2 linked regions of the Rattus norvegicus genome follow. The protein of the gene in region 2 purifies or fractionates together with the protein of the main gene of each other region. This does not show direct contact. Links are inferred from orthologs where the notes say so. Each region holds a gene or a part of one and is shown on either strand. Other genes may lie near its edges.

Region 1 (7,816 bases), on a different chromosome or scaffold from region 2:
GAGTGAAGAATGGTTTTGAGTCCCCATCTGGGTACTAAGAACCAACCGGGGCCCTCTGTAAGGGCAGCACATGCTTTGAACTGCTGAGCCATTTCTGTGGCCCTCTTATGTCTTTTAAAGATTTTCAAATTAGTTTTAGTTATGTATTAGGGACAGTCTACAAGCAATCAGCGCCCACAGAGCCAAGAAAAGTACATCGGTAACTCAATTCTAGCGGATCCTGCACGCTCTTCGAACTTCTGAGGGTATCAGGCATGCAAGTGGTATACAGACAAACAGTAAAACACTCATAATCATAAAATAAATAAATAATGTTTTAATTTTTTTTTTAGACCAGGTTCTCTGTGTATCTCTGATTTGATGTCCCTGGCTGTCCTGGAACTTGATTTGTAGACTGACCAGGTTAGCCTCAAATTTGGAGATCTACCTGCCTCTGTTTCCTGAGTGCTGATTAAAGGTGTGGTGGTCAAGCAAATCCCAGTTCTTGAGTGGGCAGGAGGATCAGGACTTTAGGTCATCTTCAACCAGTGAGTTTGAGGCCAGTTTTGGCTCCATGAGACCCCTGTCTGGAAATGATGGGCTCAATGGTCAAGGTGCTTGCTTCCAGGCCTGGTGGCCTGAATCTGATCCCAAGGACCCACATGGTCCAGGAGGTGGTGGCAAGTGGATCTCTGTGAGTTTGAAGCCAGCCAGATCTACAGCAAGTACCAGAATAGCCAGGGCTCCATAGGAAAACACACACACACACACACACACACACACACACACACACACACACACACAGTAGTCCTCTGACCTCTCTAAATATACTCTGGCATAGATGCAAACACCTATACACACACAAATGAGTGTAATAAAACCTTTTTGAGATTCTGTCTCAAACAACCACAAAACTCTTTAAAAAGATGGGAAAGCAGTTGTTGGGGGTAGATCAAAGAATGTAATAATCACATATCTCAAATGTATCTTACAGGCATCCCAGCATGTATGTGAAATGTCACAGAAATTTTTAGTTGCAAAATATCAGAATAAATTTGACCCAATGGGAAATTGGTGAAATAAATTATAATGTAGTCATTTAGTGAATTAGGCCACTGTAAAAACAAAACAAAACAAAAAACAAAAACAACAACCAAAAAACAAACAAACAAACAAACAAAAAAAAAAACCAAGCCATGTAGTGGCACTCACTTTTACAGCACTCAGAAGGCTAAGGCAGGTGGATCTCTGAGTTCGAGGCCAGTCTGATATACAGACTAAGTTCCAGGGCAGACAAGGCTACACAGAAAAAACATGTCTCAAAAAAACAAAACGAACGAAAAAACAAACAAAACCAGTCTAGTCAGATGTGGTGACGTTCTGATATCCCCTGTTGAGAATGACAGTCACTGGGACATACATAGTTCAGAGGTTAAGCTCCCACCCAAAATGGTGGGTCTAGTGGTGCATGCCTGTACTGCCTGCATTTAGGAGGTAGGCAGATCGATCGAGCGGGGGGCACAGCGGTTAAGAGCACAGGCTGCTCTTCCACAGGTCCTGTGTACCACACTCAGCACCTAACATGACAACTCACAACTATAGCCCTAGGAGGCCTCTTCTGGTACGCAGATATACACACAGACAGAATGGCTATGCACATGAAATAAACAAACAAATAAATAGGAGGTAGGTAGAGGCAGGAGGATCAGGAGTTCAAGGCTAACCTTGTCTGCATAGTGAGACCTCGTCTCAAAATGAAAACAAGCCACAAACAAAGAAAAAGCAGCTCCAATATACGCTTCGCTAATGTTTTAGGGAATATTATATTATCTCCAGTGTCAGCACCGAGTTTTCCTGGGCAGTCTTGAGTTTTCCAACTCGATCCAACATTTTCTTGCCCTGTTCTCTACTTTGTAAGCAGACGACTGACTCTGCAGTCTCCCTCTGCCTTGTTTTACCAGCAGTGATGATGAAACTGCCAAGTGGTCTACAAACGTAAACACGAGTCTTCTGCATGCCAAATATCATATGCACAGCTTTTGCGATCTCTCAAATCTCCAAAGCTACTTTAAACATTATACTTAGTGTAGCCAGAATAGCAAGAGGTTTGGGAATGTCAGTCCGATGACTGGTTAGTTCTTTTTCCTTTTTAAATTTTCTGTATTTCGAACCTATACACCTGCTAAACCTTCTGTTTTCTTTGGACAGGGTCTCACTACGTAGCCATGGTTGGCCTGGAACTTGCTATGCACACCAGGCTGGCCTTGAAGGCACAGAGATCTGCTTGCCTCCCATGTTCTGGGATTAAAAGCATATGACACTACGCCTGGCTATGTATCGTTTCTGTAATGAGTATCACACAGATGTTGAGGGGAATGAGAATTTCTTATTCCTATCAAAATGGCAAAACCTTCAGTATAGCTCAGTAGAATACATCCAACGGCATTATGAGTTGTCATCTGTGTGGAGAAGTGACTCAAAAAAATTCAGCACGTATCGTATCTATACCTAAGTGCCCAGACATACTGGCAGGGGAAACATCTATACGCTTAGTTGGTTTTGTTTTTGTTTTTGTTTTTTAATGTTTAAAGGAATGCTTTCAAAGACTGGGTACCACTGTCCAGCCATATTTGAGTTTTTAGCAGGCTTAGTTCATAACACGTTGGAGGTTGAGGCAGGAGGATTGCTACGAGTCCGAAGCTAGACAGTGAGCTGTCTAGCCGGGACACAGAGTGAATCTTTGTTTCATATTTTTAAAAATTAAGAAAACAAAACTGCCTCAATGACCTGGGCCCTAAGAATAGACTGATTCTTGAGGCTCCTCAACGCCCATCGCACCACTCCTAAAGCCATCTAGTACTTTCTGCCTAGCAATAATGCTCCCGTCAAACTCCGGGATTTTTAAATGACCAGGGTAGAGGGGAAGGGTCCATTTTCTGTGTTCCCACATTCACGGATAAAAATAGGCAAGACAAATGAACCTGGGAAACCTCGCGAGAGTGTGAGGGAAGCATCCCGGAGTCCAGTAGCTAGAGACACCCCGCAAATAGAGGCCGACACCTCTGCTTCCTGTCACGCCCAGTCGAGTGCCGAGGTCGAAGCATCCCTCACACACGAGCAGTAGTGCTTTTCCTGCAAAACTGGCCGCGCAACCGCCACGCCGTAATCCTTAAAGCGCGGAACCGCAACGTTGTGAGGCGAGCACAACGGAACCTTAGAATTCGGAGTGCGGATTACCGGAGAACAAGTTTCTCGGATGCGCAATGACGTCGCGACTTGGCGTGTGGGCGGGCCCAGAGAGACCAGCGTCAGGATAAGCCAATCAGCGGGCACCAAGAGAGCCACAATCCAATGGAGGTGCTCTGTGGGCACGCTGGGGGCGGGCCAGATGCGTAAGACTTTTCGAGAAGACCCGCATAGAGCACGTTGTTCTCGGCCTCTCCCTGAGCTCGACCAGCCATGGCGGCGGTGAAGACCCTAAATCCCAAAGCCGAGGTGGCCCGGGCGCAGGCAGCGCTGGCGGTGAACATCAGCGCGGCACGGGGCCTGCAGGATGTTCTGAGGACCAACTTGGGCCCTAAAGGCACCATGAAGATGTAAGCCCGGGCTGGCGGGCGGGAGGGCCTGGCGGGTCAATGGCCGCAAACTCCAGTCGCTGCCTCCAGGCCTTCGCACTAGCATTTTCTACAATGTTTGTGCTGCATCCCATCCAAACCACCCGGATTCGCGCCTTTCGGGGTTGCGGGTTGCACCCACTTCTTTTGGAGGAAGAGGATGGCGTGTGCACCCTTCCTGAACCCAGCCCCCCCGAGTTTACTAGGATGTAGGAATAAGACCCAAATTTCAGGAGGATCTGTTTTTGTTACCTTATTAGCCAGCAAATTAGTGAAGTTCCCTGAGACGTAGCGCTTGGATTTTTAAGTATACTCTTAGTCACGCCTCTCGTATCCGTTCCTCAAATTACGCCTGCTTTGGAGTCCTATTTCATAGCCTCCTTTTGTCCCCTTTACTCCTCTTTCGCTTTCGTGGGTCTTTTCATTATGTAATTAGTCGAGGTAGAGTCTGACTGATAAGTTATGGTTTGTCTGGAACTCCCAGAGATTTGCATGACTTTAAGAGAGGGTTGGGTGATATACATCACCCCTTGGCTGCTTTGTGGAATTCTTACTTGCTTTTTTATTGGAAAGTCACATTCTTGCTCATCAATCCCTGCCCGTTTGACAGGCTTGTATCTGGTGCTGGAGACATCAAACTTACTAAAGATGGCAATGTGCTACTTCATGAAATGGTAAGAAGCTGCCGTGCTAGGTATTAAAAAAAAAAAAAAACTTTTGACCTGTTCCTTCTGGATAAAATTCTTCATCGTACGTTTCAAGCAGAAATATAGGAAGTGCTGTAGTGGGTGAGGAACTCTGTAGAGTCTCAAATGTGTGTTTGGGTCCTTGGTATTTTGTTTTGGTTTTGGCCTACTTTGTATAGTCTGGGCTAAAAAAAAAATAATAACAATAATTGTATAAAAGATCGCTATGTCTGCTTTAGCTAAATCTTGTAACACAGCTTTAATCCCAGTACTCAACTAGATCTCAGGATTCAAAGCCAGACAGAGCTACATATGCAAAAACAGGGCAGTGGGAAAGAAAAGCAAAAATGAATGATCATCTTTTTACTCAACTGCAGGAGAAATGAAAAATCTCCTTACTTTGTTTGAGATGAGTCTCACTGTGTAAGCCTCAGTGATTACCTACTTTCTTTCCCTGAATGCTGGGATTAAAGCTGTGCGCCTCACACCAGGCTACCTTAGAGTTGTTATTTTTGTCCCTGGGATCATATTAAATTGACCCAATTACCCATTTCCCTCACCAGAACTTTCAGGTCCTGTAGTTCACATCCCAGTAAAGGGAATGTCTTGAACATCCAACCAAAATGTAGCCATGCTGTGCAATCTTGAGTGGGACGCTGTAAAAGAAGCCTTTCTTATGTTTTACCCTAGGTAACCATAAGTCATTTAAGTAGTTCTTTTTCTACCTGCAGCAAATTCAACACCCAACAGCCTCTTTGATAGCAAAAGTGGCTACAGCGCAGGATGACATAACCGGCGATGGCACTACATCCAATGTCCTCATCATCGGAGAGCTGCTCAAACAAGCGGACCTCTACATTTCTGAAGTACACAATGATTCATGTTTCTGAGTTTCTGCTTGTTGTTTGGTGGGCTAATGGTGCTAATTGATGTGATGCTAGCTGAGGGCACACCGTAGAACGGTTGAGCTGCTTAGCTCAGAGAGCCTCTGCCTGTCTGTCACTGGTCTGAAATGAATGGGAAAAAATCACCTCTAAGTAATGATTACATATTTTTAATGGACTAGCCTACTCTGGTTTCTTTTTAAAAATATTTCAAAATGATGTGAATTAGTTTCAGATTACCTGTAGACAAGAGAAGCAAGCTCTTACAGCAAAATGTTAGGAGCCAGTTTTGAGTTCGTGGATTGCACAGTGAACACCCAAGTGTGCTCTGTAGTTCCCTTGGCCTTGACTCTGTGCTAGAGTAAAGTCTGTTCTTTTCCTCTGCATTGAAAGGAGTACTGTGTCCTTTTAAATGTATTCAGAAAATCAGCACACCATCTTAATTGTAGTGAATAGGAGGGCCCCAGGGTGTCCCTTGAGATTACTGACTGACTGGGTTTCAGTGGTATCCTGTTGAAGATGCAGGTGTTGGCACTGGCTTTATAGCTGTTTGGATTATAGGGTCTCCATCCCAGAATAATAACCGAAGGCTTTGAAGCTGCAAAGGAAAAGGCACTCCAGTTTTTGGAACAAGTCAAAGTAAGCAAAGAGATGGACAGAGAAACACTCATCGATGTGGCCAGGACATCTCTGCGGACTAAAGTTCATGCTGAGCTTGCAGATGTCTTGACAGAGGTGTGTATCGGCCTCGTGTGGTGCAATGCATGGGGAAAGTCTGATGTAAAAACCTGTTCTAAGCGTGCATGTGTAGGCTTTTCACAGAAAGTCTGTGTAGAGGAAGGGGTTAGGGTTTTCCCTGGGCAGTAATGATCTAATCTGTCTTCAGCTTGGAAAGATGGAGTTAGTAACAGGCCAGGCTTAGGAAGAATTGACACTCCTCCAAAATGTCTCTAGTCATACTTTGGGGAACTGGTCTGCTAGTCCACAATACAGTATGAATTGTAGGGCTGAGATTGGGGACCTGTGCCACCATAAAATAGCACTTGTGGGGTTTCAGAGACAATTTTCTTAAGCCTTTTCCACTCTTCTGAACAACAGCTAAATAAAGTGTGTCAGGCTCTGCACATTAAATTTATTAATGGTTATCTCATAGGCTGTGGTGGACTCCATTTTGGCCATTAGGAAAAAAGATGAGCCCATTGACCTCTTCATGGTTGAGATCATGGAGATGAAGCATAAATCTGAAACTGATACAAGGTAGGCAAGAGAATGCTTTGAAGTGCTTTCTACCACTGAGCTGCGGGCTTCCCCCCAGCCCCCAGTCCTGAGACATGTTCATACTGGATAGGTTGCTGAGTATGGCATTTACTCTAAGTAGTATGCACTGTGGGGATGAGGGAAGGCTGTGCTGTGTTTGTGGTCGGTGTGATTTGAAATGTGAACATGTATTGATACGCTTGACTACAGTGCACATGTATGAGTGCTGTATCTGTGTATATGCCTGCATGCCAAAAAAGGGCATGAGATCCCATTATATATGGTTGTGAGCCACCATGTGGTTGTTGGGAATTGAACTCGGGACCTCTGGAAGAATGGCCAGTACTCTTAAACTCTGAGCCATCTCTCCAGCCCTGAAAACATTTCTTTAAGGAGTTGAAGTGATCACAGTTGGATAGCCTGCTAGTTGTAGACTTGCAAGCTTGTTTTTGCCTAGGTGGCCTGTCTTGTGTCTTAGAGCATTCCTTTTTCACATTTGACCTTAGGTTTAACTGAAAAGTTATTGAACGACTTTAGAAGCTAGTGGACCTGTATAAAAATTAGCACTGTAGGAATTACTTGATTTTACTTTATTATGTGTCACTTTCCCGTCTCTGTTTGCTAACAGAAGTGGGATAAATTTTCTGTTTTATAGCTTAATCAGAGGGCTTGTTTTGGATCATGGAGCACGGCATCCTGATATGAAGAAAAGAGTAGAAAATGCCTACATCCTCACATGCAACGTGTCCTTGGAGTATGAGAAGACGTGAGTGTGGCCCCTTTGGGTGGGAGGAAGTTAGTGTTTGTCTCATTACCGTCCGCACATCTCATTACAGTACAGACAGTAATGAGACATGGGGGCTCGGTGATGTGGAGCCCACTGGTGCAGCACTTGCTTTTTAGAGCCTAATACAGGGCCCTTAAAAAGCTCATATAACATGGAGATCTCTTCTCTTTTTTTTTTTTTTTAAATAGAGAAGTGAATTCTGGGTTTTTTTACAAGAGTGCAGAAGAGAGAGAGAAACTAGTAAAGGCTGAAAGAAAATTCATTGAAGATAGAGTTAAAAAAATCGTAGAACTGAAGAAGAAAGTCTGTGGTGATTCAGATAAAGGATTTGTCGTTATTAATCAAAAGGTAAGAACTTAAAATTATGAATGAGTCTCACTTACTTTTAAGGTGACAGCGATTGAAGAATGTTTGTTTCTATGCAGGGGATTGACCCCTTCTCTTTAGATGCCCTCGCGAAAGAAGGCATCGTAGCTCTGCGCAGAGCCAAGAGGAGAAACATGGAGAGGTGAGTGGTGCCAACCTAAGAAAGTTACAATTGTTCCCTTCGTGCTTCTGCTTGCTTTCATTTTACTGGCATGTTTTAGTTCAACAGACTTGTTGATTTTC
Region 2 (7,773 bases):
ACACACCAGTGCAAAAAGTATGGAGCCGCCATACATGGCTTAAATAGACTTTCTTGAAGATCATCATGAACTAAGCAAGCTGAGCATTTGGAGCCCCAGCACTTGGGTAACAGAAACGGGAATCTCACACTCAAGGGCAGCATATCATTTTACCCTCCACCTGCTCCAAACCACTGTGAACAGAGGAGAACCTGGGAAGGGAGCAGGAATGAGTGACTGGTGAGAGGGCAGGACTGAAGAGAGGAAGTGACTCAGCCATCGATCAGAGAGGGAATTCCAGTTAGGTAAGCTCATCTGTGATAGTATAGCTTGGAGAACTCATTATCTAAGAGTTCTAGAGACTCACTTCAGTATTCTCAGGAGTAGTGGGCAGGAAACATGTTAACAGTGTAAAACATCATCTCAACAGGGGAGAAAACTGTATTTTTTTATTGGATATTTTTTATTTACATTTCAAATGTTACCCCCCCCCCCGCCCATAACCCCCCTATCCCATCCCCTCCCCCTACTATATTTTCTGTTCGTTTGTTGACACAGGGTTTCCTTGTTTAACAGTTCTGGCTATTCTGGAACTTGCTTTGTAGACCACGCTGGCCTCAAACTCAGAGATCTCCACTTAAGACAGACAACAGAAGAGCAACAGTTTTCTCTTTGCAGGGTAGGTGGCGGCAACCTTACCTTGAGCTGAAGTGAAAGATATAAATGTGCATCTTGCTTTTGTTTTTTTAAGATGCTGTCAGTGTTCTCAACCGCTGAGCCATCTCTCCAGCCTGCATCTTGCTATTTTGATATAATCACCATCCAAGTGGGCTTCAGGCCCCTAAAGAAACCTCCTTGTGTGTTTGTAAAAAGGTCCTGAGGATGTGTGTGTCTCTGAGCTTCCTGTGTGTTCTCCCTCAAGGAATGGGAATGCTTGAACCAGCTGTATGCCGATTGTCAGTGAGGAAACAGTATTTAGATAACAACACTCTTTCTTCTTATTAAAAAAAAAAGATTTATTTATTTAATGTATGTGAGCACACCATTGCCCCCTTCAGACACACCTGAAAGGGCTCTGCATCCCATTACAGATGGTTGTGAGCCACCATGTGGTTGCTGGGAATTGAGCTCAGGACCCCTATAAGAGGAGTCAGTGCTTTAAACCACTGAGCCACCTCTCCAGCCCCATTTCTTCATATTAATAAAGACCACATTCCATATGGTCTTACTTCCATATAAATATGGTAGTAAGAATAAGTGTAATAGATCTAACCAGTTCTTCACAAAATATAACAACACAGCAGACATGACAAAATAAAATCTATTTCTTTTTGTCTCTGAAGTTACATCCTGAGTGGTCATTTATGTGCTCCAAAGTGAAAAATTTTTAGGCTTTCATAGTGAAAATAAAGGTTTAAAAATACAACCAACTTTATGTATTTCCTGTATAGCTGTAAATACTGTGTATATTTCTTTTCAATTGCTGTTAAATATTGCTTTTATCTTATTGTATTACCAAATGGTTATTAGTTTTCTTTTTCTTTCCTTTTTTGACTTTCCCAGACAGGGTTTCTGTGTTGTCCTGGAACTTTGTAGACCAAGCTGGCCTGAAACTCAGGGGGCAGGCTGTCTACCTCTGTTTCCCAGGTGCTAGGATTAAAGACATGGATCACCAATCCTGGCAGCCAGGTTGTTAGTTCTATTTACTTTAAAAACTTATGAGTTTATGAGGATAATTCCTGTGAAACCAAGCACACAAAAATGCATACTACAGTACTTAAAAACTGACATTTTATGTACGTATTTCACCCTAAAACCATTTAATGATGAAGACATCGTTGTGTTGATTTAATTTTAAGTTCTATTCACAAGACTTTTATTTTGTTTCGATCAAAATTTCTGCCACTAATGACAATATCTGCGTTCAATCACTTCTAAACATCAGTCTCTTTGAAAGTTACCGTTTGCCATCTAACCCGCTATTCTCAAGATTCAAGATATCACTACTTCTCCCAGTAAACAAATGAAGCAATAGCTCAAACTCCCTCAAACACAGGCTATCTTAGAATAATAAAGACTTAAGACAAGTTAGAACTGGCGGCCAGGAGCACCGAAGTGGGACCAAAGAAGCAGGTCGCGACGAAGCCCAGGAACCAGTGAGAACGTCCGCAAGAATCTGGGCTATTTGCCAAAAGTAAACGTCTCCCGAATCTTGCAGACTGACTGGTGCCACGAAACCAGAGGTCAAGTGAGTGACAGGCAGAGAAAGAGGCCCGACGCTTTGGGACTGAGCAAAACACGCAAAGAATTCCAGAGAAACGTCAGGAATTCCAGGGCGGTACGAAGGCCGGCTTGAACCCAGCTCCGAAGCCGAGGCACTTGGCCGAGACCCACGCTGCTCCTAAGGATGTGTGCGTGAAGAAAACGACCCGGAAGCCCGACGCCCACGCCTTCCCCAAAGTCACCACTGCATCCCGTTTCCACGGGTGTGGAAAAGCTGGGGCCCGGCCCCCGAGTGGGGGCGGAACCCAGTCTTTCCCCGCCCCGAAGAGCAGTTCATCCTTAGTGCGCCTGCGTAGGGTGAGGCCGGACTCTATTTGGTTATCCGGAGTGCAGCTGCCGCGGCGTTCGCTACCCAGCATGCTGTGCGCGAGCGGCGGCCCTACGTCCCTCCTCATCCGTCCCTACCCCCCTCCTGTCGCGGCCCCCCTTTCCCCAAAGTGAGTGAGTGAGACGGGCAGATGGAGGAGGGACTGTAATGGCGGCGGCCGGCAGCTCCCTGCTCTGATCCGCGGCAAGCACACCGCAGCGACCCCCTCCCCGGCCCTCTCCCGGCCGGACCCCCGCCCTGCCGTCAGCGCGGGGCCACCGTCCCGGCCCTCTCCGCAGCTGTCGGTGTCTCGCTCTGCGCCCCAACCGGGGCCCCACACACAATGGACGAGCTGGCCGGAGGCGGCGGCGGCCAGGGGATGGCGGTCCCTCCCCGACCGCAGCAGGGACCCGGGGGGAACCTGAGCCTTCCGCCGGGAGCGAACGGAGCGCCGGGCGGTGGGGGTCCTCCGGCCGCCGAGACGGCGGGGCCCCCGGCAGGCCCCGAGCTGTCCCGGCCGCAACAGTACACTATTCCGGGAATACTGCACTACATCCAGCACGAGTGGGCTCGGTTCGAGATGGAGCGGGCGCACTGGGAGGTGGAACGGGCCGAACTGCAGGTACCTCACCCGAGTCGACTGAGGGCTGTGACCCGGGTACGGGCCGGGGGGTGGGGCCGGGGCTGAGGTTCGTGCCCTAAGGGGCGGAGGGGACCTACCTGAGCGGCTCCGGCTGGCGAGCGGTGACGGCGCTCCGGGCCCCCCCACCCCTGCTCCCGCAGCGGCCGGCTCCCTCCTCACGGGCTGCGCGCTGCGGGCATCCTTGGGGCAGCCATTTTGGCTTTTAGCATGGCGTCCGTAGAGCTCCTCCCGAGGCACCTATTGGGCCTCCGGGTTTGGGCCCAGCGCCTCTGAGCGAGAGTCTGGCGTAAGCCCGCTGGGCACTGAGTTTGCGCTTGTTAGCCCTCTTGAGGGTGAGAACTCGCGGAGAGGGCCTGGGATGAGTGTCTTGTCTCCTGGCTCCCGCACCCTCTTCCGATGTGGCGTCCAGCCCCCTCCCCCGCGCCTCGGTACGCACTTGCCCCTTGACAGCCACGCCGCTTCGGGCTAAGGCCGCGCACAATGGCTTGCGGCCGACAAGCGAAGTTTGCCTTCCCCTCCTCTACTCTTTTAAGAACCCAGGATGCCACTTGGATTTCCTTTAGCGCTTTTAATGATTCATTAACTTTAACTGAATATTTCTCTTTTGAGTTGGCTTCACTAGACGTCCCTTCTATATTCATGCTTTTACTGATAGAAAGCAAAACTGGGCTTATCTGTACTGTATTTATGAAATGTCTGCGGAAAGAATTAGCTTTAATTTGGAGTAGAACGTACTTACTTTGGTATACGCTAAAAGGGAGCTAAATGTCCACTTAATGTGATCCTCTGACAGACTTGAGTTATCCTAACTTTTGGAAGGTGGCAATTGCGGGTTCATGCCTTGAATTTTTTAAATTGCTCCATCTGTTTGAAAGGATTATTCAAGCTGTAGGATAGTTAGTTCCATTTAGTTTTAATTTCCTTTCCAGGGTATAATTTAAGCTTAGAAGAAAAAAAGTATGCATCTAAATGTTGCACCTGTTTTTCAGACGTAAATTTCGACATAAGAAATATCATTCGTTATTATACACACAAAGAACTCCTTTGGTGAATTTAGGAAAAAGTAATGTTGAAACAACAGCTTGATTATTAAATGTAGAAAAGGTATCCTCAAATAAATGTTAATCTTCAGTTTGGTTTCGAATAGTAAACCTTTTAATTGCATAGATTAATTTATTTCTGACTCTGATTGTTTACAAACAATATAAACAATTTTATTCAAAACTTAAAAATACCCAGGTGTAGTGACACAAATCTTTAATCCCATGGGTCTGGGAGATGAGGTTTGATATCCGTGAGTTCAGGCTAGCCTGGTTTATATAGAGAGTTCAAGGACAGTCACGGCTACATAGAGTCCATCTTAAACAAACAAAAAAGTAAAAGAAAATTAAAAATAACGGTCTTTCGCTGCCAAAAGCATTGCAAAACAATTGATTGAACCAGTAAACCTTTTTGGTTATGGGCTTTTGTTATTGTTGTTTTGTTTTTTGAAACTGGGTTTCTCTGTGTACCTTTGGCTGTTCTGGAAGTAAGTCTGTAAACCAGGCTGGCCTCGAACTCAAGAGATCCAGCTACCTCTGCCTCCTGAGTGCTGGGATCAAAGGCATGTGCCCTCACCAACTAGTGTTGTGGTTTTGAGAGATGGTCTCCTGTTCTTGGGCCATCTGGAACTCACTGTGTAAAACAGGCTTAGAGGTCCACATGCTACTTCTTTAAGTGTTGGAATTGTAAAAGCTTGCACCACCTCACCTGGCAAACCAGTAAACTTTTATTTAACTCCACAAAGTGGAAAAAAAGTCCACAAAGTGGGTGAAGTTAAATTTTAAAGCAACAAAATACTACCTTCTTTATCTGACACCTTTAGTTGATTTGGTAGTCTTTGGTAGTGCTTAAAAAATACATTTGTGCTTTAGAGATTACAACTTTCAACATCTTATGTCAAAATTGCCTGTGGTCTCTTTTAAATTTGTAGAGTCTACTTTAATATTCTTGGATTTAGAGTTTTGTGGGCATATAACTTTCTAGTATGTTGTGATACCGACTTTTCCATGTGGGTAGAGTGAGGTTAAACTATTAAAAAATTGCATTGAGGCTTTTGCTGAATTGATAAACCACCAGATACTTATGTAGTTTTTGATCCTTGTACTGTTGGTTTGATTTTCAAATTAGCAATTGAATTTGTCACTGAGACTAGCTAGCTAAGAAAGCATCTTGTGTCCAAATTAACAAGTTTTACATTATTGAAATAATTGGTTTTCTTCCATTTCCTTTTCATTCTTCATGAGCTTAACAGTAACAGAAAAGGATTTTTAAGGATTCTGTAGCTTGGTTTCTTTCAGATTGATAGTCTTTGTTTACTTTCCTTTTTTTCTTTTAAAAAATTTCATTGTAATTATGTGTGTGTATATGCATGTGCACATGAGTTCGGGTGCTCAAAGACCAGAGATGTTGGGTTCCTCTGGAGCTGGAGTTGAAGGTGTTGTGAGCCTCCTTGCTGTGGGTGCTGGGGATGGGACCCAGGTACTCTGGAAGATGGGCCATTTCTCCAGCCTGTTACTTGGTTTAAAGAATGTTATATGATGTTCTCTGCTTCTATTTTATTCAGAGATGTTTTCATTATTTTATACTGATACTTTTGGAATAAAATGTTCATGATTGAATTGTTTATATGCACTTGTGTATGCTGTATATTTTTAAAACATTTTTTTGGGTTAATTAATAGCATTTCAGATTTGTTTCTAGAATATTGAATGTTCTTTAAGTGCTGTCACTCTGTGTGTGCATGTGTTGGGGGGAGCAGGACTGTTTAGAAAAAGCTGCCTGGACCTTGGTAGGCTCACACTGGCCTTGAATGCTGTTAGTCTTTAATTAAAACTGCTGTGAGTACATACTTAAAAGTTTAGTGTTAGGGGGTGGATGGGGAGGAGAACAGCCATATAGAATGGGAGGGGCAAGGGTTAGGGGGATGTTGTCCTGGAAACTGGGAAAGGTAATAACATTTGAAATGGGTTGGGGATTTAGCTCAGTGGTAGAGCGCTTACCTAGCAAGCATAAGGCCCTGGGTTCGGTCCCCAGCTCTGAGAGAAAAAAAAAAAAAAGAAAAAAGATGGAAGAAAAAAAGTTTAGTGTTGAATGTATGTGTAAAAAGTGTATGTGTTGTATTTAAGCTGTAAGATTAAAATTATTTCTGTTAACTTTCTTAAAAACAAGACTTCTATTTCTTATATGTAGTTCTGAATGCACTACATATACACTTTTTTTTTTTTTTTGAGACTATCTTGTAATGTCGCCTAGGCTAGACCTTAACTCCTGGGTTTAAGTGATTCTCTGCTTCAGCCTTCTAGGTATCGGGGACTAAGATGGGAACTCACACTTTTTGGCTGTGTTGGAGATTGGTTTGTGACCTCCCATAGCACACACACAGATGGAGGTCAGAGGACAACTTGTGGGAGTCAGCTTTCACTTCTCACTGTCAGAGTCCTGAGGACATAGCTCAGGCTGTCAGGCTTTGGCAAGCTTCTTTACCCCTCAGCCATCTCTATTAGTACAATTAAAAAAAAAAATTCTCTGGCACTTAACCTGTTATCATCTGTCTGTGGTCTTGTCCCTTATAAATATCACATACACAAGTCCCACCCCTCCCCCTTCGTGATTGACCTTCAAATTTCCAAGTCTTGTGACTTTATACATTGTATTGGGCTCAAACTACACTTTCTGCTGTTAACTATTTCTTCCCCCAATCCTTTCCTTTTAGGGCTTTGATCCCAGAACTGGGGAGGCAAAATCAGGTGGACCTCTCTTGAGTTCTAGGCCAACCAGAGGTTTATAGTGAGACTGTCTCAAACAATGGACTCTTTCTTTGGCTTCCATTCATTCCTTATTTCATTTTCTCTGTTTCATCTCCTTTTTTTTTTTTTTTTTTTTTTTTTTTTTGAGACAGATCTTAACTATGCATTCCTGGTTGGTGTGGTGCTCAACTGTGTAGCTTAGGATAGCCTCAACTAATGGCAATCTTCGTGCCTTACCTTTTTTAGTAAAAGGAATAGTCTAGGGCATCTCCATTGCTGACCACTTCTTGTAATATATTCTTTTTTTGTTGTTGTTGTAGTCTGAGGTTCTAATTGTTTTGTGCTTTCACTGTATTTTACTAAAAGCAAAAATAAAAATTTTATTACATCTTGGTTATTTTCTGTGTGCTGATGTGCATGTGGGCATGTGCATGGGCACAGCATATGTTTGGAGGTTAGAGGACCATGTGAACCTAGGTTCTGAATTTAGGTCAGCAGGCATTGTACTTGATAGATGCCTATATGAGCCACCTCCAGTGCCATAATCCAATTAAGTTCCTATTACCATCTTAGTAGTACCCAGATTTACATTTGTTATCTAATGCAGGTTTGTGAGGTTAGTGGAATTTAAACTTTCTGAAATACTGAGGCCCACACAGAGTTTAAGTAATGTGCTCAAATATGTATTTAGAGACAGCAGAAAGCAGAGCTGGGATTTAAACCCAGGACCATGCTTTTAGCTTCCACACTTATTTGTGAGGCGAATGTGATAA

Evidence for each region. The genes of interacting proteins can lie anywhere in the genome.
Region 1: the proteins of Strn3 (region 2) and Cct6a purify together in Homo sapiens (affinity purification with mass spectrometry; 3 studies listed by BioGRID and IntAct, with this or other methods). This does not show direct contact. The link is inferred for Rattus norvegicus from reciprocal best matches to the Homo sapiens genes STRN3 and CCT6A.

The regions. Positions count from the first base shown.
Region 1 is NC_086030.1:32,514,677-32,522,492, reverse strand, and holds the start of Cct6a (T-complex protein 1 subunit zeta), read left to right. Parts: upstream 1-3,420; 5' UTR 3,421-3,438; coding exon 3,439-3,575; intron 3,576-4,203; coding exon 4,204-4,267; intron 4,268-5,010; coding exon 5,011-5,145; intron 5,146-5,465; exon of another isoform or gene 5,466-5,600; intron 5,601-5,724; coding exon 5,725-5,898; intron 5,899-6,316; coding exon 6,317-6,420; intron 6,421-7,075; coding exon 7,076-7,186; intron 7,187-7,395; coding exon 7,396-7,555; intron 7,556-7,632; coding exon 7,633-7,715; intron 7,716-7,816. UniProt on the Homo sapiens protein: Component of the chaperonin-containing T-complex (TRiC), a molecular chaperone complex that assists the folding of actin, tubulin and other proteins upon ATP hydrolysis.
Region 2 is NC_086024.1:74,864,397-74,872,169, reverse strand, and holds the start of Strn3 (striatin-3), read left to right. Parts: upstream 1-2,696; 5' UTR 2,697-2,912; coding exon 2,913-3,191; intron 3,192-3,289; exon of another isoform or gene 3,290-7,773. UniProt on the Homo sapiens protein: Calmodulin-binding scaffolding protein which is the center of the striatin-interacting phosphatase and kinase (STRIPAK) complexes.